Linked DNA regions of Nothobranchius furzeri. The protein of the gene in region 1 purifies or fractionates together with the protein of each later gene. This does not show direct contact. Links are inferred from orthologs where the notes say so. Each region holds a gene or a part of one and is shown in the gene's direction. Other genes may lie near its edges.

Region 1 (4,213 bases):
CAGATGGTTCAGAATGCCTGTGCTCGGCTTCTGACCAAGTCCTCCAAACACCACATCACCCTGCTTCTCCTCCAGCGTCACTGGCTGCCAGTCAACTTCAGGGTTCATTTCAAGATCCTGGTTCTGGTCTTTAGGGCCTTACATGGACAAGCACCATCACACATTGGTGATCTTCTCAGTCCCTACACCCCCAGCAGGTCCCTGAGGTCCAGCGACCAAAGCCTACTGGTTGTGCAGCACACCAGGCTAAAGACCAAAGGTGATAGATAATTTGCTGCTGTGGCCCCCAGACTCTGGAACTCTCTCCCCCTGAGCATGAGATCAGTGGACTCCTTTAAAAAGCAGCTGAAAGCCCACCTTTTCAAGCTGGCTTTTGTGTGACCTTTTTCACCACCCTTTCTTTATTTTGCTCTTTTTACTTATTCCACCATTATCTACTTTATCTTGATCTACTGATTTCCCTCTTCCCTATTCACTGTCTCTCTCCCTTTGCTTACATTATTTTTCTTTAATCACAAATGTAATATTTTTTCTCATTTTAAGCATATTATTAATAACTTTTTGATACTTTAATTGATTTTTTTGTTTGTTTGTTTATGTGAAGCACCCTATAGGTTACAATTGTAGGTCACTTTGGATAAAAGCGTCTGCCAAATAAATGAACATATATAGCAGAGGTGTGGACTCAAGTCACATGACTTATTTTAATGCCTTCTGACTTGACTTGATAAAATCTATAAAGACTTACGACTTGACTCGGACTTGAACGCCAATGACTTGCGACTTGAATCAACTTGCATCTGTTGACTTGATGATGACTTGAGCATATTTGATATTTTAGAACAAAAGTGGCACAACATGGACAAAAATCATAAATCATTCTTCGTTCTGGGTTTGATTTTGTACTGCTAATGCAGCAGCACTTTGTTTATAATCAATTTCAGTTGCACTTTCTGCTTGTTTGAGCAAATGTATTAAGCTTTCAGAAGCTTTATTTCTGGAATTTATTTATTATCATTGTCATTAAATTGAAGTTTGACAGATGACTTCATTATGACTTGAAAATTCAAAGATAAGGACTTGGACTTGATTTGGACTTTCACATTATTGACTTTGGTCTCGACTTGGACTTGTCTTTCACTTGAACTTGACTTGAGACTTGACTGGAAAGACATGTGACTTGCAAAGCAGTGACTTGGTCACACCTTTGATATATAGAGATAGAGACTGATAAATAGGGATATAGACAGCCTTAGGCTGGCTTGGTGCCAGATATTTCAAGTTTTTTTATGTATTTATTTAAAAAAATTATTTAATGTTTATTTTATTTTGTGATACTCAAGCGAGCTCGTGTCTTGATTGCGCAGTCTCTTGCAGTGATGCGCATTTTCGACGCAGGATGTCATTAAAGAAGCTCATCATTTGACCTACCTTCGTCACGAGCAGCTTGAACCAATCGCTGTGGTCGTTGCTGAAAGGTGTTCGGATTTAGCAGAGGTCCTCGTCAACATGGTGAGTGTAGCCGCTCTTAAGAAAAGTTCTGGAACAAAGATAATACCGTTTTAAGTTAGCGGTGGTTCGAATGAGATATATATTTTTTTCGTTATAAAATCCGCGTCTTTACTTTTGCTGCGAAGGAGAGCGATGTTTTGCTGTAGACCACGGGTTAGCGTATGTGTTAGCATTGAGTTTAGCCGCATATCATGTCATGGCGTAGTGTATCACCCGGAATAAAAGCTGCAGTGCAAAATCTAAAGTTCAAGCAACACTAGAGATGTTTTGACTTGTTAATGTGTCACTTCATTAGGCACTCTTAACGGTGTTTCTAGCGTGGGGTGTAAACAGGGGCCATTTATTAACTCGTTAAAGTTTTGCCGTTCACCTTTAACAATTTTCCCAGGATTTAGACGAAGCCTGCCAGTGTAGTAATTCTTAATCAAAACTAGCTGCTATCATTGTCAGGACTCCTAACCACCGTTGCAGAAACGGCTGTGTACGTTTAATAATTTAAGATAAGATCGGACTAATTCAATTTACTGTCCGTGTTTATGTCAGTTAACCACATTTAGTGGGAACATTGTTAATTGCAATCCAGTATTTTAGCTGTTCCCACATCTTTGGTGTTGATGGGAAATGTGATGACTCTGTTTTACTTTAAATTCGTGTGTTAGATCATATTTTAGCCATACATAAAATATTAACACATTTTAACAGCAGGGCCGGATGTACAAAATGAATAAAACTGCTGTCAGCAGTCAGAAATTGGATCAAATGAGTTGATGAAGAATAGAATTGACTTTATTAATCCCACATTGGGGAAATTCACTCGTTACAGCAGCGCATACATTGAAAAAAAAAACCAGGGAGAATGAAAAAATTAACAAAGGTACAGGTAAATACACACAGGCAGTGAGCATTTTTTTGTAACCTACCACTAAAAACAGCAACTAAAAAATTGGAACTTTTTTTTAACTATGGTGCAATATCAAAGTTTTAAAGCAGATATTCAAGCCTGTGCGGCAGTTTTTACATAAAGCATTGCAATGGCTGTGGAAAAAAACTGGCTCCCAGAAATGTCCCTGCTGCAACCGAGACCCTAATACTCACTGAAACTTGTTTCTAGTGGCCTCTGACCTTTCAGGCTTCTACATTACAAATTGTGCCATCCTGTCAAAAGTTTGGACTTTTTTTTTTAAAGTAAATGAATGATGCACACACTGCTAATGTTCTACTACATTTGTGGTGTTCTTATTACAGTCTTCATCAGAGAACAGTACTGGCTCGAGTCAGGCAGCGTCTTATCCAGTTGTACCCCCCGCAGCAATACCTCCCCCATATGTAAGTTATGAAAATGTTTACAACAACTGTTATTTATTTATTTATTATTTTCTGACATCTTGTAATGTAATTCCATGACTAGATGGGACCGCCGGGTATGCCTCACTACCCTGCCATGGGAATTCCTCCTATGGCCCAGCGACCACCCAGTATGACCCCATTGCCACCTGGTATAATGCCCCCTGGCATTATGCCACCTATGGCTGCACCACCAATGGGACAGGTAGACTTCTGTTTTTGTTAAAAAATATATTTGGCCTACATATTTGTGCATTTGTAGTTCTTTATCGTTTCTTTGTTCCAACCATTACATGTAAATCAGATTTAATCCATCCATCCATTGTCTGACCTGCTTTGTCCACGTTGGGCCGCGGGGGGGCTGGTGCCTATCTCCAGCGGTCAATGGGCAATCAGGTGGTGTAAACCCTGGACAGAGAGCCAGTCCACCGCAGGGCAACACAGAGACACACAGGACAAACAATCATGCACACACACACTCGCACCTAAGGACAATTTAGATAGACCAATTAACCTAACAGTCATGTTTTTGGACTGTGGGAGGAAGCCGGAGTGCCCGGAGAGAACCCACGCATGCACAGGGAGAACATGCAGACTATCAGATTCAATCAGAAAGTCAAAATATATCAACTCTTAAAATGGTCTGAATACAAAGTTAAGTAACTGGTTGACTAATTACTTCTACAATATTCTCATTCCCCTTTTTATTTTTAATTAAAACCAAATAAGCATTTTTTTTGCTCACTTTGGTAAGTGCATGTGATCATGATACACTGAAAATGTGATTTTTATTTTTATTTTGGGAAAAGGTGTCACCAGTTTGAGAAGTTGAGATGCAGTTTGGTGTCTCTAAGTATTCACACAGCTAAATAAGAGAAGCACTCAGCTCCAGTCCCACCTTTTTCCTCCAAGTTACAACGCAGACACCCGTTCTCACACTGTGTCTTAATACTTGGCACCTTCACTAGTTTGGTTTCAAATGTTGCAGATGAGTGTTTCACAACGCTTCTTTTATTAGATGGCAGGCATGATGCCGCCCATGATGCCGGGGATGATGATCCCACCTCGCATCCCAGCTGCATCTGTACAACCGACGGGGCCGGTAATTTTATCACCATTTTTTCTCCTCTTCTTCTTTTTTTTTTTTCCCTAAAGCAGGGTGTTTGATGCTTCACACGTCTTATAAATAACCTGCAGTCTGTTTGATGCTAACATTTACACGTATAAGTAACTCTTTTATATTTTTTATTTATATTTGTAAAGAAAAACAACCTAATCTGTGAATTTTCTTGTATCTGTCACTGGTAAATCACAAATAAATGTTTTTTTTTTCTCCACAGCCAGGTGTTGACTCCAC
Region 2 (4,234 bases), on another chromosome or scaffold:
TTGGTAGGTCACAAACCTGCTTGGCGTGAGTACATTCGTTTGCTGAGCTTAAGTACGGTTTTAGTAAGGATTCTACGCCATGTTTTATAAATGAGAGAGGGGCCTCATTTATCAAGCTTGCTTACTCACAAAACGGGGTCGGAAAACTGCGTGAGCAACTTTCCACGCAAACTTTGGGACTTATGAAAGAAAACCTGGCGGAAAAATGTGCGCAACGTTAAGGTAAGGTACCTACCTACTGCTCCAGATTGGTGTTTGGTGGGGTGTAAAATTGTGGTTGTACATGAGTTTCCTGCGTAGAAGAGCTTGTTTAAGAATGGGCGTCAACTTCATTGGCAGTTTTTTCTATTTTAAAATCACATGTAAGGACAAACTCAATTCCTCCAATCATATCAAACACTGGAGACAAAAGCTGATACCGATAGCGTTAGCTTGTTTTTTCTGCCATGTGCTCATTTTAGCCTAATTACAATGTTGCAGTTTCACTACTAATAATGTTATTCTCTCTAATAAAATAAAACAAAACATAAAATGCATTTGCAATTTGCTGTAATTATGCGCAAATACCCTTTGCTGAATTTGTGTGCTTTCCGTGGTGAATCCATTCACTGAATATTTTCAATCGGTAAACTTTTCAAAATGACCAGTCAGAAAACTTGTATTTTTAATTGAGATACCGCAACTGGAACAGGAAATAGCGCCGCCTTCAGTTCCGGAAAGCAATGGCACCTTTATGGGGAGAAAAAAAAGTTTCAAAAGATCTGTGAGTGTGTATCTAAATTTGTGTGTGTAACTCTTGATTTGTAACTTGTGTTTACATTTTTGTGTGTAACTTCAGTTCTTACACATACAAATCATTGAATACACACACACAAATCACCTGGTAATCACGGACAAAACTACATTACACACAGATCAGTTCCTAAGTCCAAAAATACTTTTAAGACTCTTTTCACACCTGACCATGCACCTGACTGATTTGTGCGCACATGGTGTGTTTGAATGCTGGATGGAAGCTGGGAAATTTGAATTCCTTTGGGTTTAGTCTAAACTTGTGTTGACGGGACAAATATGGTTTTCTGTGGAAAAATAGAGTATCTCAGGATCCTGTAGTTATACGAGATAAACCTACATTTAAATTTAAATTTTCTAAAATTGTTTATTTAGACATGTGTTTGTGAGCCATGAGAACATAGTGAAAGGGTTATAACAAATGACTAATAAATGGCAGAGTGGTTCTCTGACTGGAAAAAAGCACGGTTCAAAAGGAGAGAAGGCACGAGATGTCTCCTTTTGAACCTTTTCCATATATGGTCGTACCCTGTGCCCACTCCCCGCCCCGTGCTACAAGCTGCAGCGTAGACCTCCTTCTCTGTGAGCTTGGCGGTGTTCTCGACTTTACGGCAGTCTTTGTGGTTTACGACAAAACCGCCATTTTGTGTTGTTGAGAGACGGCTAACTAAGACATTTACACGAGACACGTTGGAGCTTTGAACCTTTAAAATTAAACCGCTGCTCGGACCCTTTAGAAGCACATCTTGCTTTGGAGAACTGCCCACTCGGCATCACCTCAGGTCCATGGTTTGATTTCGGTCGAACACCGGAGGAGAGAAGAAGGTAAGACGTAGCGAAGCTCGTGTTAGCATTGTTAGCTTAGGCTAAGACGAAGCGCTTCATAAAGTAAACGAAGAAAGGCAACAGTGCAAGTGAGAACGGACGTTTTTATAACTACAGCTCTACTATCAGTAGTTTTCATCATCGGGTCTAAGTTAGTTATGAGCGGATTTAACCAGGTGAAGATGAACCACAGTCATCAGAGTGTCGCTAGCTGAGTACCCGCCGCCCCTGCTCTGCGGTCGGATTGTGTAACAATCACACTCTGTCGTGTTTCAGTGAAAGATGACACAGTTTCTACCGCCGAACTTGCTGGCCCTGTTCGCACCACGGGACCCGATACCCTTCCTGCCGCAGCTGGAGAAGTTGCCCCATGAGAAGCATCACAACCAACCGTACTGCGGCATCGCTCCGTTCATCCGACACTTTGAGGTGAAACGCGCTCTAGTCGGTTTTCCTCTTCCTACGCTCGTCTCTGATGTGCCTCCTAAATGTTTGTGTTCTGGGATCAGGACCCAAGAGATGCCCCCCCACCGACCAGAGCAGAGACCCGGGAGGAGCGCCTGGAGAGGAAGGTGAGACCATCACTAGATTAGTGCAGGTATAATTAAAAGAGCAAATTGCAGGTAAAATTTGTTTTCTAATTCATGTAAAATGCTGTCCAAAAATACTAGCCGAAATGCTTATTGTGGATATTTCGTTTATGAACACACAACGGCACAGTTTTAGGAGTAAAAAGTGACTTTTCTCAGCAGAGCTTCTAAAAACGCTCCTTTTTTACCTGTCACGTAACTAAAGCCTCAGCTCAGTGGAGCAGGGTCCAGCCAGCCGCGGGCGTTTCTACTTGGGCTACAGAAAAACGCCTTTATGGGGGTTACTGTAGCTTCTCACCAACCAATCGGAATGGGCATCAAAATACGTAATTTCCCCTGTTAGACGTGTCAAAATAAAAGTCTAAACTAATTGATCGTGTGGCACCGCCACGGCAAAATAAAAGTCCCCACACCTCTCCTAATGTCTGAAAGAAGCTCCTTTACAAAGGGAGAAACGCTCCCGGTGACTTTCTACATCTGCGACAGAGACGGAGCAGCGCATTTGACCCCGGAAGTTGTTGTCCGTTGCCGGGAGACTAAGGCGGGCAAAACAGGAAAGGAATCTAGTAGCGGACGGACATTGTTCCTGGTCTTCGGTATTTGGGGGATGCTAGTGAAGGCGGAGAAGAGGGTGAACTAAAGGAAAAACAGGCAGATTCCTCCTCTCTTGACAAACTCCTGGGGATGCAACAAGTGGGCGCGGTGCGTCGACTACCGGATCTGACGTCGGCGAATTTTTAGAATCGAGCCGTCGACGCTTCGCTACAGCTCTAGTAATTACCCAACTTGTTCTTTCTGTATCTGATCTTTATTCGGGTTACTGTTGGCCCACACCTTAACTCCAGGAAAATCAACGTTAACAATCTCTTCTCTTTCTAAACAACCAAACCGAAACTCTCCACACAATCGGCAGAGAACACCCCCTCCAACACAAAAGTCCAACCATAACAAATCGTAACCCGTTGGTACAACAATGCAAAGCCAGAGAACAGATAGATGAGCAGAGAAAATCTCTTATTTTGGAATATCTGAGGTGAAGTAACATTTCAGGAGCGAATACGACGAAGTGGGTGTTCCTGTTTTGTAGGGATGTTCTCGTTTACAAACCACAATGCCCCTTTTAGCAGCTGGCCCGATGATGTTGGCTCAGTGTGTGTTTACTATGGTTGGTTGTGTTCATGTTGATAAACTAGAGTGTGTGAGAGTAGAGCTGCACCAACTCCAGCCTGTCTGGACATCGATTCCCCGGGTTTCCAGATAAGAGACACAACGCCTCTATCTTCGTGCCTGAGGGCGTTTCTGTAGCCCGCACCGGTCGGTACCGAGTCAGGGAAGTCCACGCTGGGCTCCGGAGACCCGTGGCGAGATTTTAAAAAAATTAAATGCAAGTTTTTGGAAGTCAGTTCTTCGTCAGAACCGATCACCAGAAGCGACGCGTGGCTGAGTCGAGCTGCCAAGCGTTAGCAGCGCGCTGCCGGTTACCGGCGGTTCTTACGGCTCGTTTTCTTTCACTCACCTAAGTTTTATTTCATGTTTTACTTTTTAATTCACACTGAAAACACAGCTGTAGGGGTTTGAAACGCTAGAGAGAAGCTTCTCCTTTTACTCAGACGTAAATACTCCCAGTGTTTTGGATTGGGGTCCTTCACCGGCTTCCAGCAGCAGCGGGCTGCCCGCGGAGGTGCCTGGCTTTAAATCGGCTCTACTAAAGAGACTTATCGGCCGATGATGAAAAAATGCAAAATATCGGCCTGATAAATCGGTCGACGCCTAGTTAGCACACAAGTTTAACCGTTAACTCACAAGACATGGGAATTGCTTTGCAACACTCCCAGGAGACGGAAAAGTCAGAGAGCGAAACGTCTCTTTCCGTGCGTTCGCGTCTCCCACCTGGAGCTGGCGCACAAGTATAACTTGTTACCTGAAACAACTGAGATATAACTGTCACTGAAACACACACGGTAATAGTTATTTAGGTTCATTAACCTGGGCTTTTTCAGATGTCTTCTGTCAACGTGCAAACACAG
Region 3 (4,250 bases), on another chromosome or scaffold:
CTTAATCTTTTCATTGTTAACTGTGTGAATGTAAAAGGTATTAAAACAGGTCAAGATGTTCTAACCATCAGTAAGCTGGCCAGTCATACCAGCCTTTTTCTTCAAAATGATCTTCAAGTCCCTGTTATTATTAAAGCTTTAAACAGGTTCTCGGATGCTTCTGGTCTCACAGTTAATAAGAGAAAATGTGAAATATTAGCCATACATGATTTAGACACCGTATCAATAGATGGCATAGAGGTTAAAAAAGAAGTTAAATATTTGGTTATCACATTAAGCAAATCCTCTAGTGAAAGAATTTCAAAAAACTTCAACCCTAAAATTGAGAAATCTAAATCTGTCTTTAATTGCTGGCTACAGAGGGATCTTACCATTATAGGTCGTGTTTTACTCTCCAAGGCTGAAGGATTATCCAGGTTAGTATACCCAGCTTTATTTTTATATGTTGATAGGAAAACCTGTGCAGCTATTGATTCACTCTTATTTAAGTTTATTTGGAAACATAAAAATGAATATGTAAAGAGGAAAACACTTATTAGACACATTTCAGAGGGGGGTCTTAATGTATTGGATTTCCAAACTATCAACAATATATTCAAAATTAATTGGTTAAAACATTGTCTTTCACATAATAATGAACCATGGTTTTTTATTCCCAATTTTTTTGGTTAACAAATGTGGCGGTTTAAAGTTCTTGCTTTCATGCAACTTTACCTCAGATAAACTGCCTATTGAACTGGCCAACTTTCACAAACAAGCCCTGGACACTTGGAAAATGGCTTTCAAACACAACTTTTCCCCTCACACATGTACTTTATGGAACAATCAACATATTGCTCACAAGAACAAGACTCTGTTTTACAAAGACTGGTATGATCAAGGTGTTATGTTTGTGTTTGATCTTTTGAATGATAACGGGACCTAGCTACCTATGATGAATTCATCCAACGAAAGGGGTTCAACACATCTCTCGCTATGCACTCTAGAATCCTCCAAAGCATTCCTGTTCATTTACTGTCTCTTGTCAGAGCTCCTGTTCAGTATACACCTTACACAGGAAGGATTCCTGCACTGTGTCTTGGTGGAAAGCTTCTTGAAGAGCACTCATGTAACAATGCTCACATTAGAGCCGTTTTCACCTCTCTATATAGTCAGGTTCCAAATTCATTACATCGTTGGAGGGTAATGTTTCCTGACATCAGTAGCAATGCCTTTTCTGAGGTTCAGAAATTTTTTGTCCCCAATAAAGTTAAAGAAATACACTTGAAAATCTTACATAGATATAATCCGTGTAATGAATTTATTAATAGATTTAGACCTGATGTGTCCCCTTTATGTTCCTTTTGCAAAACAGGTGTTGAGTCTCTTACTCATTTGTTTTATGGTTGTCCTTTAGTTGTACAGTTTTGGAATCAATTGTCTTCATTAGTTTGGGATTCTCATAAAATATTGATTACTTTTAATGAAAGTATGGTCTTATTCTTAAACGTTAAATGTAACAAGGAAGTTAACAATGTAATAAAATTGCTGTGTCTGTTGGGTAAATTTCACATTCATAAAGTCAGATTTCTACAGACTATACCAAATGTAACTTTATTTTATATTGTTCTTAATTTTTTTCATGAGACTGTACGTAGAATTAGTAAAAACAAGAAAGCTGTGAAAATATGCAACTTGATGAATTCTATTATGCCCCATATTACAAGGTAATGTATTAGTGGAATTTTGTTTTATTTTATGTTATTTTGTTTGTATATAATTATTTATGTTTACTTTCATTAACAGTGTTTTCTTTTTCTTCTCTGTTTGTCAATGTATCACACCCTGTACATCGATGTTGTTTTGTCAATATATTATGTCTTGTCTGCTGCAAATGTGTCAATAAAGATTGTTTAAAAAAAATTGCACCGTAGAAGAAGAAGCGCGCTGAATTGTCGCAGGATTCAGCGCAGCACCACCTGCGGTTGTTTGCTGCAGTTAGCGCCATGGCGGCAGTGCGCAGTTTACAGGTTAAATCAGACAGCGGTTCGGATCGCTCGGAACCGAACTCAGACTCCGAGTCAGATCGAGATGCCCGTGAGGCCGAACCAATGGAGGTGGAGGAGGGAGAGCTGGAGGCGGAGGACATCTCGGTTAACCGCTCTCTGAAGGAGCTGCTCCCGGTAAGTTTCCGACTAGGCCTCGATAGACCGGGGACTCGCGTGTGCCTCCCGCCGGCCGAGCAGCGGGAGGCGCCGGCGCTGAAGCAGCGGCTCTCCCCGGTTAGCAACCGCGGTTTCTGTCTCCGTTTAATGGCTTTGAAGTCAAAGGTTTCGTTAATGAAGAAAAATCACAATTTAAAATCTACTTGTTTGTAGTCCGAGAGATGAATAAAAGCCAGGAGTTTGTTTGTTTCTGTCAAGGGTAGATGACACAAACGTAAACAATACAAGGTGAGGGCTCCCCCCGGGAAAGCTCCTCAGGCTGATTCTGGATCTGCTGTTTTCAGGACACCAGCCGGAGGTACGAGAACAAGGCCGGAGCGTTCATCACCGGGATAGACGTGAACTCGAAGGTACCGGAACCGGACACACCTGAGCTGGAGAAACACTCCTGGATGTTTTAGTGCATCCTGCGAGCAGGTCTAACAAGCTGAGGCTTCTTCATGATTAGGAGCACATTCTGGGAAGGGCGAGCTTTCATCTGAGAACTAGTTGTTCGAGCTTCTCCTCCTGTGCCAGGTACAGCGGTGCTTCTCATGTGACACACAACAGCTTGCCATACCTCATGATGGATGGGAGCAAGGATCAGCAGTGACCACCGCTCAGATAAAACCACGTCATTTTAAACATTCCAGATGATGAAGGCTCAGACTAACAGATCTACGGCTTACTGGTTTGAGCAGGGTCGTCAGTCCACAACCCAATCCTCCTCTGACCGCTGGGTTAGGGTTAGGTTGCTCTAGATAATCGCCACCCATCTTCGAGTTGTCTGTTGGGAACGCCGTCTTCTCTGGAACAGCAGCTGGTAGTTCACTTATGCCCATGTAGCCTCAAGTACCCAGAATGCAATGCTGTGATGTCACGTACCACCTGTACTTCAGCGACAGCAGGTGCTGGTTTGTTGTTTCTTGTCTGTTCCTGTTGATTGTAAATGTTGCTCTCATAAAGGACAAGCTCAGGTCATTTTGTGAAATCTGAACATAATCAGGAAACACTTTTAGCTCATATTTGATCATTGTTAATGATTTCAGTTGTAAAAGTGATCTTCAAGTCTCGGGTATCTGATTGTAGGTTTTGTTTGTCAGGAAGCGTTTGAGAGGAAAGAGAAACGAGCAAGACGTTTCCACTTCCGCTGTGAGGAGAGCGTTGGTCAGAGGAACGTCTTCCTGGATAAAGATGCCATGAAGAAAGGTGTGAGCCGGTGTTCTGTTTCAAATCATTAACAGCAGTCTGCTTGGGTTTATGGAACTGTAGCTTTCTTCTTCTGTGGTGCTCAGCCATCTTTAAACTGCGGATGGAGGCGATCCATGTGAGTGGTGTGGACGACATGAGCACGCAGGATGTGTTCGGGTACTTCAGGGAGTATCCTCCAGCCCACATTGAGTGGATCAATGACACTTCCTGTGAGTAACGAACATGAGAGTAACAAAATGCGTTCTGCTCCAATCAGAGCAGAGGTCCAGGACAGCAGTGCTGCTCAGCAGCATCTCACCTGTCCTGTTGTCGCCTAGGTAACGTAGTTTGGCTGGATGATGACACCTGTATCAGAGCTCTCATCAACTCCAGCCAGATGCCCACACCAGAGGTTGTTGTCACGGAGACGGAGTCCAGCGAGCAGCCGGGCAAACGGAACAAAAGTGGGTCTGAGTCACGACTGAACTGAACATGTCATGAAGGTGTGGTGCATTATAGGTAATCTAATCTGTTTTAACATCACAGCTCGACGGGTTCGAGGGTCGGAAGAAGAGGATGATGATGATGATGATGAAGAGGAGGAGGAGGAGGGAGAGGTGGAAGAGGAGGTGAAGAAGAATGGTGATGAAGAAGTGGACCAGAACAGGAAGGTGGATGGTGGCCAGGTAGAGCGTTTACTGTGATGTCACAAAGTGACTCAGCAGTTTGTGTGTCACCAATGACTGACTCAGCGGTTTTTGTCAGGTGGACGACTTGTCAGCAGCTGAGAGGGAGTCGCTGCTGAGGAACGAGCTGAGACCTGCCATCAAACCGTTTAAAGGAAACAAACTGTTTCTGCGCTTTGCTACACAAGGT
Region 4 (4,208 bases), on another chromosome or scaffold:
CAACACAACAACTCCCTCCCAATAGAGGCTGACGACTCATCAGGGGATGGAGAAGCGGGTACCCAGAGTAGTTTTGGCTCGTTAAATAACAATAGACAGCTTGACTCTCCCATATTCCAGTTAGAATTGACAAAGCTCCTCAGATGAGAAGCAAATTGTCTTCAAGAAACTAAAGAAGTCCAGTTGCCTTCATCTGAACCCTTTGGGTTACCATGACCTGGATGACTGAGAACCTTCATCAGCATATCTACACACACGTTTTACTTCATGATCTCAAGCACAAGTGAATGGGACATAAATGTAGGTTTTAGGGCTGTGCAGGTATTGAAACCAGATTTTAGGAAAAGTGAAGTTTTTTTAAATGAAATAATGTTTCTGCAAATAAAAATCTACTTTCAGCTCACACTTGATTCAGAAATGAACATGTATAATCAACATACCGTATGTAGCATCCAGTCACATGGCTGCAACAAAACCTCAGGTTAAATATTTTTTAATCATCCATTTAAATAGATAGATGTTTATGTATTTTGCAGACGCTTTAGTCCAAACTTTGGATTCCAAAGTGACTTACAAGTGATAATCAGCATGTTGCCCTTGAGGCTAACAACAACAGTAACAACAACAAACAATTTCCAGTCAGTTGGTGGCAGTGAGGCAGCATGATGAATCATGGAGAACAAGGAGTGGACAGTAGAGAGGGGATGGGTGCAGGGAGGGTGCTAGTTTAGAAGATGTTCTCTGAAGAGCAGGGTCTTCAGGAGTTTCTTGAAAATAGATGGACCATTAATGCCTCAGTTAAACATGGTTATTTGAAAGGTACAAATAATCAACTCCAGTAATCAGGAGACCAAATAATTAATCTTTTATAAAACAAGCATGAGGCTGTTTCACGCATGTGGATATGAGCTCACTTAATAAATCCTGGTTAAACCATGGTGAAATTACAGGCATGATGCATGATCATTTCACCTTTTTACTCCGGAATCCTTAAAAAAGAAATCCAAACGGTGAACGTTTCAAAACACAAACCAAGCCCCAAAACTTCCATTCTCAATGAAAACAGATTAATATGAATTTATTGATGCAGTCCGTCAATGGCTGTGATCTGTGTCTTCTTAAAGACAGCTGTTAACACTGTCCTAACGCGTAATGCGCTACAGCAACGCAACAGCTCAAACCGCATCTACATGTCAACATTGGACACATATCTACAGGAAAACAGATGCTAGCTGAGCTAGCTGTCAACAACATCTGTCATTAATGTACCTCTCTCTCTCTGTCAACAACAGCGAAGCCCCACCACCGTTTCAAACTTGACAAACTCATTTCATATCCAAAAGCGCGTCCGTCTGTGTTTCTACAGAGATGTCGGAAATGCAAGCTGATATTTCACCGTCAACGTCGTAAAATAAACAAATGAGTTGTAAGTGGCGCTCAAGCAGGAACGCAACTTCCGCTGGCGTCATCAACCGTCGACAAGCGAACAGGCCGCAAGTGGTGGAAGCAGAGCTACATCGTCCATAAAAAATGTAGGTTTGAGCTCTTTCCTGGCTTAAAACTGTCCGTTTTTAGTTGTGATGCTTAGTTAATCAACTCTGAAAACCCAGGCGTGTTTTACCGTCGTGTGCTTGTTGCGTGAAGAGCTGAGTGATCGGTTAACGGCATGGTCGGAGCTCTCCTTGTTTAGAGGCAGCGGGCTGAATGAAACTCGTTGGCGGCGGATTTCTGCCTGAGTGCTGCTTTTTCCTATAATAACATAACAAATGTTTACGATTTCCAGCAGACATTTGGTGCTCCCTAAACTATGTGTGATGTGGATTGTTTTTATTTATTTCAGTTATAAATCATGTATATCGTGTTTAGTCTCTTTCAGCTAGCTTACGGCTTGAATTTTTGGTGCCAGATAAGTTGTGTAATATTAGGAGAAAAACGTTATTAGTTTTTTTTATCAGTTGCTTTTACATTAAGGGATTTATTTTAAAATTGAGACATCAGTGTAGTTTTGATAAATGTTCAAGAAAATAAAATTATAAAAATCTTTGTTGCACAAAAGGAAATAAACCTACTGGGGTTTAATTATTCTAAACAAAGAGACAGAAGTTTATTGACTAGTCTGTTGTTTTAACAGCTGGAATAACAACTTAGCGTTCTGTGGTAATTCCACAGTAATGGTAGTGCATCACACTAAAGAAATATTCCTTAGCATTAAAGATTAAACACAACAGTTAAAATGTTGCTTTGTGTTTCATTTTAACTGACAGAAAACACAAAATACACTTTTTGGGTTTCATTTTCAGCTTGTTGAGATTACAGATTAGACCCAGATTTGAATTCTGCATGAATTTGAACATTCCCACAATTTGTAGCTCTTAGATTTGTTAAATCCATTTGTGTAAAACAACTAAACTAACAGATGTTTACATCACTTTAGGGCACCATCTCCTACGAAAAGGAAGGAGGAAGAAAAATCTAAAGATAGGGGCAAAGAGAAGACTGCCACCAAGGAAGGAGACAAAGAGAGAGGACGGGACAAAGTAAGGAAACGTCGTAGTGCCTCTTCTGGAAGCAGCAGCAGCAGCAGGTCTGAGTTCCTTCTCATTTGTTATATCACTAGAGAAATCTGTGCTAAAAATTCCTAACAAACCATTTCATTTGTTCTGATTGTGACCGGATCCAGATCTAGCTCATCATCCAGCAGCAGCTCTGGTTCTAGCTCAGGTTCCTCGAGTGGATCCAGCTCTTCTGGCACCAGTCGATCTGGATCGTCCAGCTCTCGATCGTCATCCTCCTCCAGCTCCTCTGGCTCGCCGAGCCCCAGCCGCAGGCGCCATGACAACCGCCGGCGCTCCCGATCACCGTAAGTCTTTGTTCGTGTCTCAGTGTTTACGATGACTTTTGGTTTCTAGTTATTTATTTACTGCTTTCTGATTTTTCAGGTCTAAAACACAGAAGAGAGGAGAGGACAAAGAGCGAAGGAAACGAAGCCCGATTGTCAAACCCACTAAGGTTCACTTAGGAAGGCTGACCAGAAACGTTACCAAGGTTAGCTTAAATGAAGAACATCTGCTTTCTCTTTCTCATCATGTCTGCTTTTATTTGAGACTATGATGCAATCTCAAGGTTATGTAAGTGCACAAGAACAGCCACGCACATCCTTAATGTGTAGTAATTAAAGATAAAATCTGAGAAGATTTTCTTGTGTGCATCGGGTGTGTTAGTCATCAGCAATGCTCTGCTCAAAACAAAAAGGAGAAAATAAAGAGTTTGTTTTATTTGTTTGGCATCAAGATAATTTTGTGTCAAAGTTGAGAGAATATCTGACCTTTCTATTTCTGTTGTACCAGGATCACATCCAGGAGATCTTTTCCACTTATGGAAAAATCAAAATGATTGACATGCAGATGGATAGGATGCACCCACACCTGAGCAAGGGCCATGCTTATGTGGAGTTTGAGACCCCTGAGGAGGCACAGAAGGCCCTTAAACACATGGACGGAGGTTGGTGTGCATGTTCAATTTAACAGCCTCTGGGTCTCAGGAACACTGGGGGTCTTTTCTGTGTGTTGATTATTTTTTATGACTATTATAAAAACAGGTCAGATTGACGGACAGGAAATCACAGCCGCTGCTGTTCTGCCTCAACGGATCCGTCTACCACCTCGCAGACTGTCTCCTCCTCGCAGAATGCCCCCACCACCTCCTATGTGGCGGCGCAGCCCACCACGCATGAGGAGGAGGTATCGCCTACAGACAGTTTCAGCCATAAACACACACACGTGTACAGGTAATAATGCCGTTTTTGTTGTTTCAGGTCTCGTTCTCCAAGGAGACGATCCCCGGCACGTCGCCGTTCCCGCTCCAGGTCTCCTGGTCGCCGGCGCCATCGCTCTCGCTCCAGCTCCAACTCCTCCAGATAAACTCATTCAGATGTCATGTGGTTTTCTACGCTGTGATGCTGATCAGCTACAACCCTCGTTTTCTCAGACTCCTTTGACTCAGTAGAAATGCCATCATCTACGCTGTATGTGTGGTCATAGCAAGAGTGCTTCTGTTCCATTTGATTTTTTCTTAAATTTTGTGCTAAGTTGATTCAGAAAAGTTAGCTTAGTTTTATGTTGCCTCTACCGGGATCTACAAACATTTTGTTTCCTTTTACCTTGTATTACGTCCTTTTAACTTTTAAAAAATAAAGATGCAGAAACAGA
Region 5 (3,353 bases), about 18 Mb from region 1:
GCCATTGTTGCAGAGACCTGCTCTCCTTTCACTGTGCTGCCAGCGTTGATGAATGAATACAGAGTGCCTGAGCTCAATGTGCAAAACGGTGTTCTCAAGTCTCTCTCATTCCTGTTTGAGTACATTGGTGAAATGGGCAAAGACTACATCTACGCTGTCACACCACTGCTGGAGGATGCTCTCATGGACAGGTAAGACCCCGCGTTCTGGGAAAAACTTAATGATTGTTTGAAGGTTAGGAGCTGGTTGATCCAGCGCTGGAGCCTGATCCTCATCCTGAAGTGCTTAATGCCACGCAGCAGCAGCTCTGTTCTGAGACACTAGACATTACTTTGAACTTAAGTTACTCTGAGAAGTATGAGGAACAAAATCTGTTTTCTAGAATTCTGATCAGTGACGTTTCATGTTACTGAAAAGAAGTAGTTGCTAATAGAAACACTGAAAACGAATGTAAAGTTAATCAGAGAACCGGGACGGCTGAGGGCCTCACTGTGGAGTTGCAATCTCACCAGTTTCTGTTCTTCACCCTGCAGGGACCTGGTCCACAGACAGACCGCCAGTGCTGTGGTTCAGCACATGTCTCTGGGTGTCTACGGTTTTGGTTGTGAGGACTCTCTTAACCATTTACTAAACTACGTGTGGCCCAACGTCTTTGAGACATCACCTCATGTCATCCAGGCTGTCATGGGTGCCCTGGAGGGGCTGAGAGTCGCCATCGGACCCTGCCGCATGTTGCAGTACTGCTTACAGGTAAGGAGGAGGGGCTTCAGTTACAGAACTATGCATAGAATCTTTACTCAAACTTAAGTTGGTTTATTCATGTCTCTTAACAACGATCTAACATAGTTTAACGAGAAATATATTGTAGACATTAAAAATGGTAAAGCGGTTCTGTCTTTTGTCTAAAAACCTCCACCAATAACACGGCTCAGACTGAAAACAACTATTGGACCATCTGGTTGTTGGTCTCACCAATCCGCCACACTTCCCTGGGTCCTCCACTCATCACACACTCTCATATTTAGCAGCAGAACACCACTGGTGTGAGACGCTCTCCGCTCATTAATATCAGAGAAAGAGAAACGGCCAGCTGCTACCACTTCACCTTTAGGACAAACTACCAGAGTCCCAAAAAGGAAAAAAGCACCATTTAAAGTCACGGACAACAAAAGGCATTTGGACCTAGAAAAGGGTGACAGGTATAGGCTTACATGAATCTTTCAATGGTTCAGTTCATTGAAATCCTCAATTCTTTTTTATTTATTTTTTTTATACTAATTCGAAGCTTCGTTAAATGTGCGCACCACAGTCTGAACACATGTTACTAGTGTACAATGTGGTAATCTAGGTGCAGTGGAGGGAAATGGATAATCAGCAAAGGCAGAAACGCTCCCAAAGTTTGGGATCGAGTTGAACTATGAGCAGAATTTCTAATGCTAAGCTAGTGCGTAGCATGATCGTGATCAAGTGGGGTTCAGAAAAACACGTTGGTTTTGGATGACTAAACTCTACAAGCAGAAGAAGATTATAAATATCAGCTGGGGAAAAACGGAACTAGACAACACAAATTTAATACACATTATTGAGCCTTTTATAGCTTAGTTGTTTTATTTTCATATTCTTAGCAGCAGACCACTGTCTCGTTCCACTTGAACTGTCGTCAAACAGAATATTCCATTAATCGATGGAGGGCTCGATAAAATAATGTGGTAACACTTCCTTTTACAGTCCCCTACTTACTAAGTACTTACATGGTAATTACACAGTAAGTTAAAGTGTGTTATTTTGTAATTAAAGCGTATAATTGTACTAAGGTGTAGTTATTGTATAAAGCAGTAGTCACTTGATAGATTAATAAAATAAAAACTAGAATTAAGTCTGAGTTGCATGGTAATAACTGTTTAAGAACTCAGAAACAATAATACACTTTTACTTACTATGTAATTACCATGTATGTACTTAGTAATTAGGGAACTGTAAAAGGAAGCGTTACCAATATTCCAATACTGAAATATTCTGTAACTGCAGCCCTAGACTGGTGTTTAGCACCATCTCGTTTCCTCTGACCACACGGGAATCGCAGGTTTCCAGTTCTGGCAGAAGCATCTCACCAAGGGAGGAACGACTGTTCTGTGACCATGTTTGCGTTTGAAACCTAGCTTGTTATGTAGATTCGCTATAGCAGCTTTAAGCTCGGTAAATGAACTGCTTACATGTGTAAAGTGATTTTTGAACCTGTGACACACCGCCTACACACAGCTGCACACTTTGTACATTCTACTCTTCCTCCAAATCATCTCAGAGAAATCCCAACATTTACATTTTGTTTGATCTGCACAGGGCCTGTTTCACCCTGCCAGGAAGGTGAGGGATGTCTACTGGAAGATTTACAACTCCATCTACATCGGCTCTCAGGATGCCCTGATTGCTCATTACCCACAAGTCTACAACGATGAGAAGAATGTGTACGTCCGCTACGAGCTCGAGTATGTCCTGTAAATACACACAGATCATTTCCCCTTCTTATTGTTTCTCTATCGCCTCCGAGTCCATTTTCATTTAGTGGCAGTGTGTCGCTCACACCCAGCTTCTCCGTGGGAGCATAAATGAGCCTGTAGAGTCTGTATGTATTTTTTACTATTTACTTTGTGTTTGCTGTAAGAAGCAGTTGATGTCGGATGATTTAGAAAAGCAGAGCTATCATCACAATCCCTTTTAAATATTTGCATCCGTTTGTTTGAGTGAATGATCACCTGTAGACCTCTGTATCGCCCACATCTCCTTTTTTCACACCATCCCTGTTCTTATTGGATCAATGCTTTATTTAACCAAATAAAAGGTTTGTGTATAGACCGTTGTTGTGCAAGCTTTTCTTTATTCAAGCATTCTAATGCTTCCTTTCTTCTAGAAGGACTTTCATGTCCCGACCCTCTTTCTGTAGGAAATTTAACGTCATTAAGAGGAAAGCAGAGACAAACCTGCACTCAGCTCAGTGCTGCTCAGCAGATCTTCTGACCCAGATTCTCCAGCAAGCTGCTGGGCTAAAGGATTCTTCATAGTCGCACTTGATTAGCTTTCGTATAAACATGTAGCGCTGCTTTAGATTCAAAGAGCAAGTCACCCCCTACCAGAGTCTTACCCCACTCCCACTTCCTGTTTGAAAAATGCAACAAATGCTGTTGCCTGGCAGACCGAGAGGGCGGAGCTGCTAACAAATACAAACAGACTCACGACATTGTGACATCATAATGTACCAGCTTAAGTCATAGTGAACCTGTTGGCCAATAGCGATGGCGGATTTAAATTCAAATGCAGTGTAGTTTTCACCTAACGACGGCACATCACTGACAGTT
Region 6 (3,956 bases), on another chromosome or scaffold:
ACCATGCACTGAGAGGCGATGTTTTTTGATCTCAATCATCCCATCTAGCGACAACATAGAGAAATGATTCGCATAACACTAAAACCACGCGTCAAGTTCAAATCTCAAGTGGCGTCTAGTTTCCCTGAAATTCGACATAGACTGTGGGTCTTTTTACTCCGACGGATGAATATTTCAAACACGAGAAGGTGTGCTTCGTTTCTTCTAGCCTGCTTCTAGCACTTTCCATGAAAGCCCCGCCTTAAAGTGACGTCACAGATCTCCCCCTTTCCTCTCCCGACGTATCATCTGTCACAAAATGTTCCTACAGCAAAAACGCCTTAACAACCATCAACTCAACCCTTTTCCGTACTGAATCATGAGAATATATGCTTTATATTGTCAAATGAACTAATGGTTGTTATTATATGAATTACAGATTTTCTTATGGACATAGAACACCAGTGGAAGATGGACTGCTATACATAAATGTAATACTATATTTGTCATGTTGATCACGACTTTGGAATTGAGTTTTTAGTACAGTGTAAGGGGAAGAAGTCACTGTTGTCAAGTGGATTAGAGTGGAATAAATGTACGCAGTTAGACCCATCAAATGCAAGAGATGCACAAATGATTATGATTCAGCTTTCTATTATGTAGTTTAACTACAGAAGACACATTTATAAATTTAGATAGTAACCTCAGTGATAAATAACAGAAGTACAGTCATACTTTGCATACAGAATATGTTATTTATTAGTTACAATTTCAGAATTGGTAAGAATGACCATTTTAACAATAATGTACACAGAATTTTTATGTACTCTTTTAAAAAACATTTAAAAAGAAGTTTAACATTGAAATAATCATATGATGGCTTTATCCTCTAATTGATTAAAACGAGTAGGAAAATCACAATGCTGTTTTTTTATGTGATCAGATGTTTTGTAAATTAAACCGATTAGAAACAAATCGTTTTAATAAAAAAAATGCGGACCGCTTTTTTGGTGTAACTTAATTTCAATGCTATTATTATTCAACCTTTTTTATTCATTTAGTTACTACCGCGCATTAGGTCTTCCAAGGTTAGTTAGGTAATCTGATCGAACCCTGTTAGCAGAAGTTTCGTTTCCTGAAAAGGGTTCATTTTGCGAATTCACATTAAGCCCCGTTCAGTGTATACACTCTGGTGCACAAAACAAGCGCGCCAGTACTCTTGCTCCTAAAGCGCGTGCGTCAAACTTTTCGAGGGCCCGCGACCAGCTAGCGTGCTAATCAGGCGTCCAGAACGTTAGCTATTAATTCACTATCATTAACATTTTTAGTGGATTTTATCTCATCATACGCCACCTGGTTGAGTGGTAGGTATATGTAGAGGCTTTTATATTTACTTCGAGCTCATGTTTAGCCTTGGGAAAGTCAGTGTTTTATTATAAATTAACATCTGCTCGGGCTAGGTTACTTTAGCATTTTAGCTGTGCCGGTGTTATATCGGGTAACGTGCTCATTGCTAGCTTTAGCGTACTTAGCTGTTGTGTGTGGTTAGTCTTAATATTGTTGAGATGTTAATATTTTTAAGAAGTTTGGACTTTGTTACTTCTAATTAGCGAATGGCACCTCACAAAGTTTGGCTAAGTTTAGTTAACGTTCCAGCAAAGTCAAATAAAAGTCACTATCGATTTGTAATGTTCACCACCGAGACCTTCAGTGTTTCCTCATTGTGGATACACTAATGTTCGCTCCCTCTGTGTTTTTACTTGAGCTGTTTGGACGTTTTTACCTTATGCAAACAACACTAATGGCCTTTAATGTGTCTTCTTTAGGCCACATTCACCCTCAAAATGTCCTTCCCTCCTCATTTAAATCGACCGCTGTTGCCCCCACCTGGGATTCCTCCTCAGTATGCTGGCTTCCCCACAGGTAAGTACCAACCAGGCTCCCGTAAATTACGCAACATGACACCTCTTAGATGCTCATTATTTGTAATAATTTAATTAATTTCATATTCACAGTCTTAACAACTTTTTTTTGTTGCATGTGCTGCAGCTCCTATGATCCCTGTCCACATGGGCATCATGGCCCCCACCCCTGCAGTCATGGTCCAGTCTGTTCCAGTCCTCAGTAAGCCTCCCATGCCAAAGAAAGACTATTCTGCTCTGCGAGCCAAAGATGAAGAGAGCAGTGGACCTATCACCACCGTGTTTGTGGGGAACATTTCAGAGAAAGCTTCAGACATGCTCATCAGACAGTTGCTGGCGGTAAGAATTAGAAAATATGTGTAAACTACACATACCTTTTGAATATCCATATATAGAAATGCTGCTTGCATAATTTTTGTTAACTGTTAATGGTGTGTGTGTGTTTATTATGTTATTTTAGTAATTGTCCTACGTTTACAGAAATGTGGTATTGTTTTGAGCTGGAAGAGAGTCCAAGGAGCCTCTGGCAAACTTCAAGGTGATTTACAGTTCTGCACAGCAACTTTCAGTAGCTTACTCTCATTGCTAACTTTCGCGATCACTTAAAGAAAACAAAACAATGTGGTCCAGAGGTGTGAAATGCAACTTCTTACTAAACAAATAAAAACCACACATTTGTGAATAACAAAGAAATTAGGGATGGACAATATATCAGCATCAATATCGGTATCGGCCGATGGTAGTCATTTTTTAACATCGGTTCGATAAATAAAACCGGGCCGATATTGACAACCAATATTTTTTCCATCCCGTCTCCATTTGTTTGCCTGTTTCAGAGGGTGAGGGGGTGATGTGTTATTGTTTAGTCATGTGAACAGTGAATGTAATCATCTCAGAACCGTAAATGGTGTGTTGTGTCACACAACAGTACACAGTAAATTTAGTTCACAGTAAAGATGTTTGCTTCAGTTTAACTATCAGCTTATAAAACTACAAGGACAATGTTAAAATACAAACTTGTATGTTATTTATCGTGATATTTATCAAATATGGTTATATATTGAGAAAAATATATATTTAATTATAAAAGAGAATTAAAATAATAAACACTCAAAAGTATCGAAAATTGGTACCGTTAAGTACCGGTATCGACTCGTAGGTACCGGGAATTAGTACCGGATCGATTCAAATGTCAAAGGTACCCATCCCTAGTTGTGTGTACATAACGTAAATTCAGCATTAATAATTTTCATTCTATACAAGTCTGCTGATTTTGAAGCATAAATGTCAGTATATCTGTATCGGCAAATAACGGTTATCGGCTATAACAGTGATATTAATATCGGAAATCGGTATCAGCCCAAAAGTTTTATATCGGTGCATCGCTAAAAGAGATGTTATGTTTTTCAACGGTTATGATACAAATATTCAGAGATGCTTGGCTGTTGCAAAACAACCAAAGTTACCAATTCCTACTTGCTTATGCTGATTTCTCTTTCTGCTTTGAAAAGAGACACATTTCAAATATTTCGGGAGAGATTTGTTTACAGGGAAATTTGAGAACTACAGTGTACACCAGAAATGTGAAATTGCATGTAGGGCTGAAAGAATCATCGAATGATTCGAAATGTTCGACTCATTTAATTCCTCAATTCATTTTGTACTGATTCGAAGCTTCGTTAAATGTGCGCAACACAGTCTGAACACATTTTACTTGAGCACCATGTGGTGATCTAGGTGCTGTGGAGGAAAATGGAGAAACCAGCAAAGACAGAAACCGTTGTAAAAAGCAGAGGCGGTCCAAAGTTTGGGATCAGGAGTTAAACTACGAGCAGAATTTCTAATGCTAAGCTAGCGGGTAGCATTCTCACGAGCAAGTGTGGTTCAGAAAAAAACGTGATGGTTGTGAACGCCTTAACTCTAAAAGCAGAAGAAAAATCCCCATCATCCCTTTTATTTGTGGACCTCTGCAGCGGTGTGGGGCAGCGCCGCAGCAGCTACCGAGTCTTCTCCATCCCCGCAGGACTGTGGCAAGCCGTTGTAGCATATAATTCA

The links.
Region 2: the proteins of prpf40a (region 1) and snrnp70 fractionate together in Homo sapiens (co-fractionation; 3 studies listed by BioGRID, with this or other methods). This does not show direct contact. The link is inferred for Nothobranchius furzeri from reciprocal best matches to the Homo sapiens genes PRPF40A and SNRNP70.
Region 3: the proteins of prpf40a (region 1) and ncbp3 purify together in Homo sapiens (affinity purification with mass spectrometry; 3 studies listed by BioGRID and IntAct, counting the BioPlex papers as one, with this or other methods). This does not show direct contact. The link is inferred for Nothobranchius furzeri from reciprocal best matches to the Homo sapiens genes PRPF40A and NCBP3.
Region 4: the proteins of prpf40a (region 1) and RNA-binding protein with serine-rich domain 1 purify together in Homo sapiens (affinity purification with mass spectrometry; 4 studies listed by BioGRID and IntAct, counting the BioPlex papers as one, with this or other methods). This does not show direct contact. The link is inferred for Nothobranchius furzeri from reciprocal best matches to the Homo sapiens genes PRPF40A and RNPS1.
Region 5: the proteins of prpf40a (region 1) and sf3b1 purify together in Homo sapiens (co-immunoprecipitation; 3 studies listed by BioGRID and IntAct, with this or other methods). This does not show direct contact. The link is inferred for Nothobranchius furzeri from reciprocal best matches to the Homo sapiens genes PRPF40A and SF3B1.
Region 6: the proteins of prpf40a (region 1) and rbm25b purify together in Homo sapiens (affinity purification with mass spectrometry; 5 studies listed by BioGRID and IntAct, with this or other methods). This does not show direct contact. The link is inferred for Nothobranchius furzeri from reciprocal best matches to the Homo sapiens genes PRPF40A and RBM25.

The regions. Positions count from the first base shown.
Region 1 is NC_091754.1:18,353,379-18,357,591, reverse strand, and holds the start of prpf40a (pre-mRNA-processing factor 40 homolog A), read left to right. Parts: upstream 1-1,413; 5' UTR 1,414-1,509; coding exon 1,510-1,512; intron 1,513-2,757; coding exon 2,758-2,838; intron 2,839-2,920; coding exon 2,921-3,061; intron 3,062-3,874; coding exon 3,875-3,958; intron 3,959-4,196; coding exon 4,197-4,213.
Region 2 is NC_091758.1:13,866,500-13,870,733, forward strand, and holds the start of snrnp70 (U1 small nuclear ribonucleoprotein 70 kDa), read left to right. Parts: upstream 1-1,434; 5' UTR 1,435-1,617; intron 1,618-1,893; 5' UTR 1,894-1,899; coding exon 1,900-2,046; intron 2,047-2,126; coding exon 2,127-2,189; intron 2,190-4,234. UniProt on the Homo sapiens protein: Component of the spliceosomal U1 snRNP, which is essential for recognition of the pre-mRNA 5' splice-site and the subsequent assembly of the spliceosome. SNRNP70 binds to the loop I region of U1-snRNA.
Region 3 is NC_091750.1:26,050,512-26,054,761, reverse strand, and holds the start of ncbp3 (nuclear cap-binding protein subunit 3), read left to right. Parts: upstream 1-1,450; 5' UTR 1,451-1,985; coding exon 1,986-2,162; intron 2,163-2,488; coding exon 2,489-2,554; intron 2,555-3,286; coding exon 3,287-3,392; intron 3,393-3,478; coding exon 3,479-3,604; intron 3,605-3,712; coding exon 3,713-3,838; intron 3,839-3,920; coding exon 3,921-4,060; intron 4,061-4,139; coding exon 4,140-4,248; intron 4,249-4,250. UniProt on the Homo sapiens protein: Associates with NCBP1/CBP80 to form an alternative cap-binding complex (CBC) which plays a key role in mRNA export. NCBP3 serves as adapter protein linking the capped RNAs (m7GpppG-capped RNA) to NCBP1/CBP80.
Region 4 is NC_091752.1:58,150,434-58,154,641, forward strand, and holds the start of RNA-binding protein with serine-rich domain 1, read left to right. Parts: upstream 1-1,408; 5' UTR 1,409-1,530; coding exon 1,531-1,532; intron 1,533-2,434; coding exon 2,435-2,584; intron 2,585-2,680; coding exon 2,681-2,860; intron 2,861-2,939; coding exon 2,940-3,045; intron 3,046-3,347; coding exon 3,348-3,501; intron 3,502-3,598; coding exon 3,599-3,740; intron 3,741-3,814; coding exon 3,815-3,920; 3' UTR 3,921-4,208. UniProt on the Homo sapiens protein: Part of pre- and post-splicing multiprotein mRNP complexes. Auxiliary component of the splicing-dependent multiprotein exon junction complex (EJC) deposited at splice junction on mRNAs.
Region 5 is NC_091754.1:36,030,132-36,033,484, reverse strand, and holds the end of sf3b1 (splicing factor 3B subunit 1), read left to right. Parts: coding exon 1-191; intron 192-533; coding exon 534-750; intron 751-2,340; coding exon 2,341-2,499; 3' UTR 2,500-2,853; downstream 2,854-3,353. UniProt on the Homo sapiens protein: Component of the 17S U2 SnRNP complex of the spliceosome, a large ribonucleoprotein complex that removes introns from transcribed pre-mRNAs.
Region 6 is NC_091742.1:8,418,762-8,422,717, forward strand, and holds the start of rbm25b (RNA-binding protein 25b), read left to right. Parts: upstream 1-1,156; 5' UTR 1,157-1,343; intron 1,344-1,805; 5' UTR 1,806-1,823; coding exon 1,824-1,902; intron 1,903-2,028; coding exon 2,029-2,240; intron 2,241-2,381; coding exon 2,382-2,439; intron 2,440-3,956. UniProt on the Homo sapiens protein: RNA-binding protein that acts as a regulator of alternative pre-mRNA splicing. Involved in apoptotic cell death through the regulation of the apoptotic factor BCL2L1 isoform expression.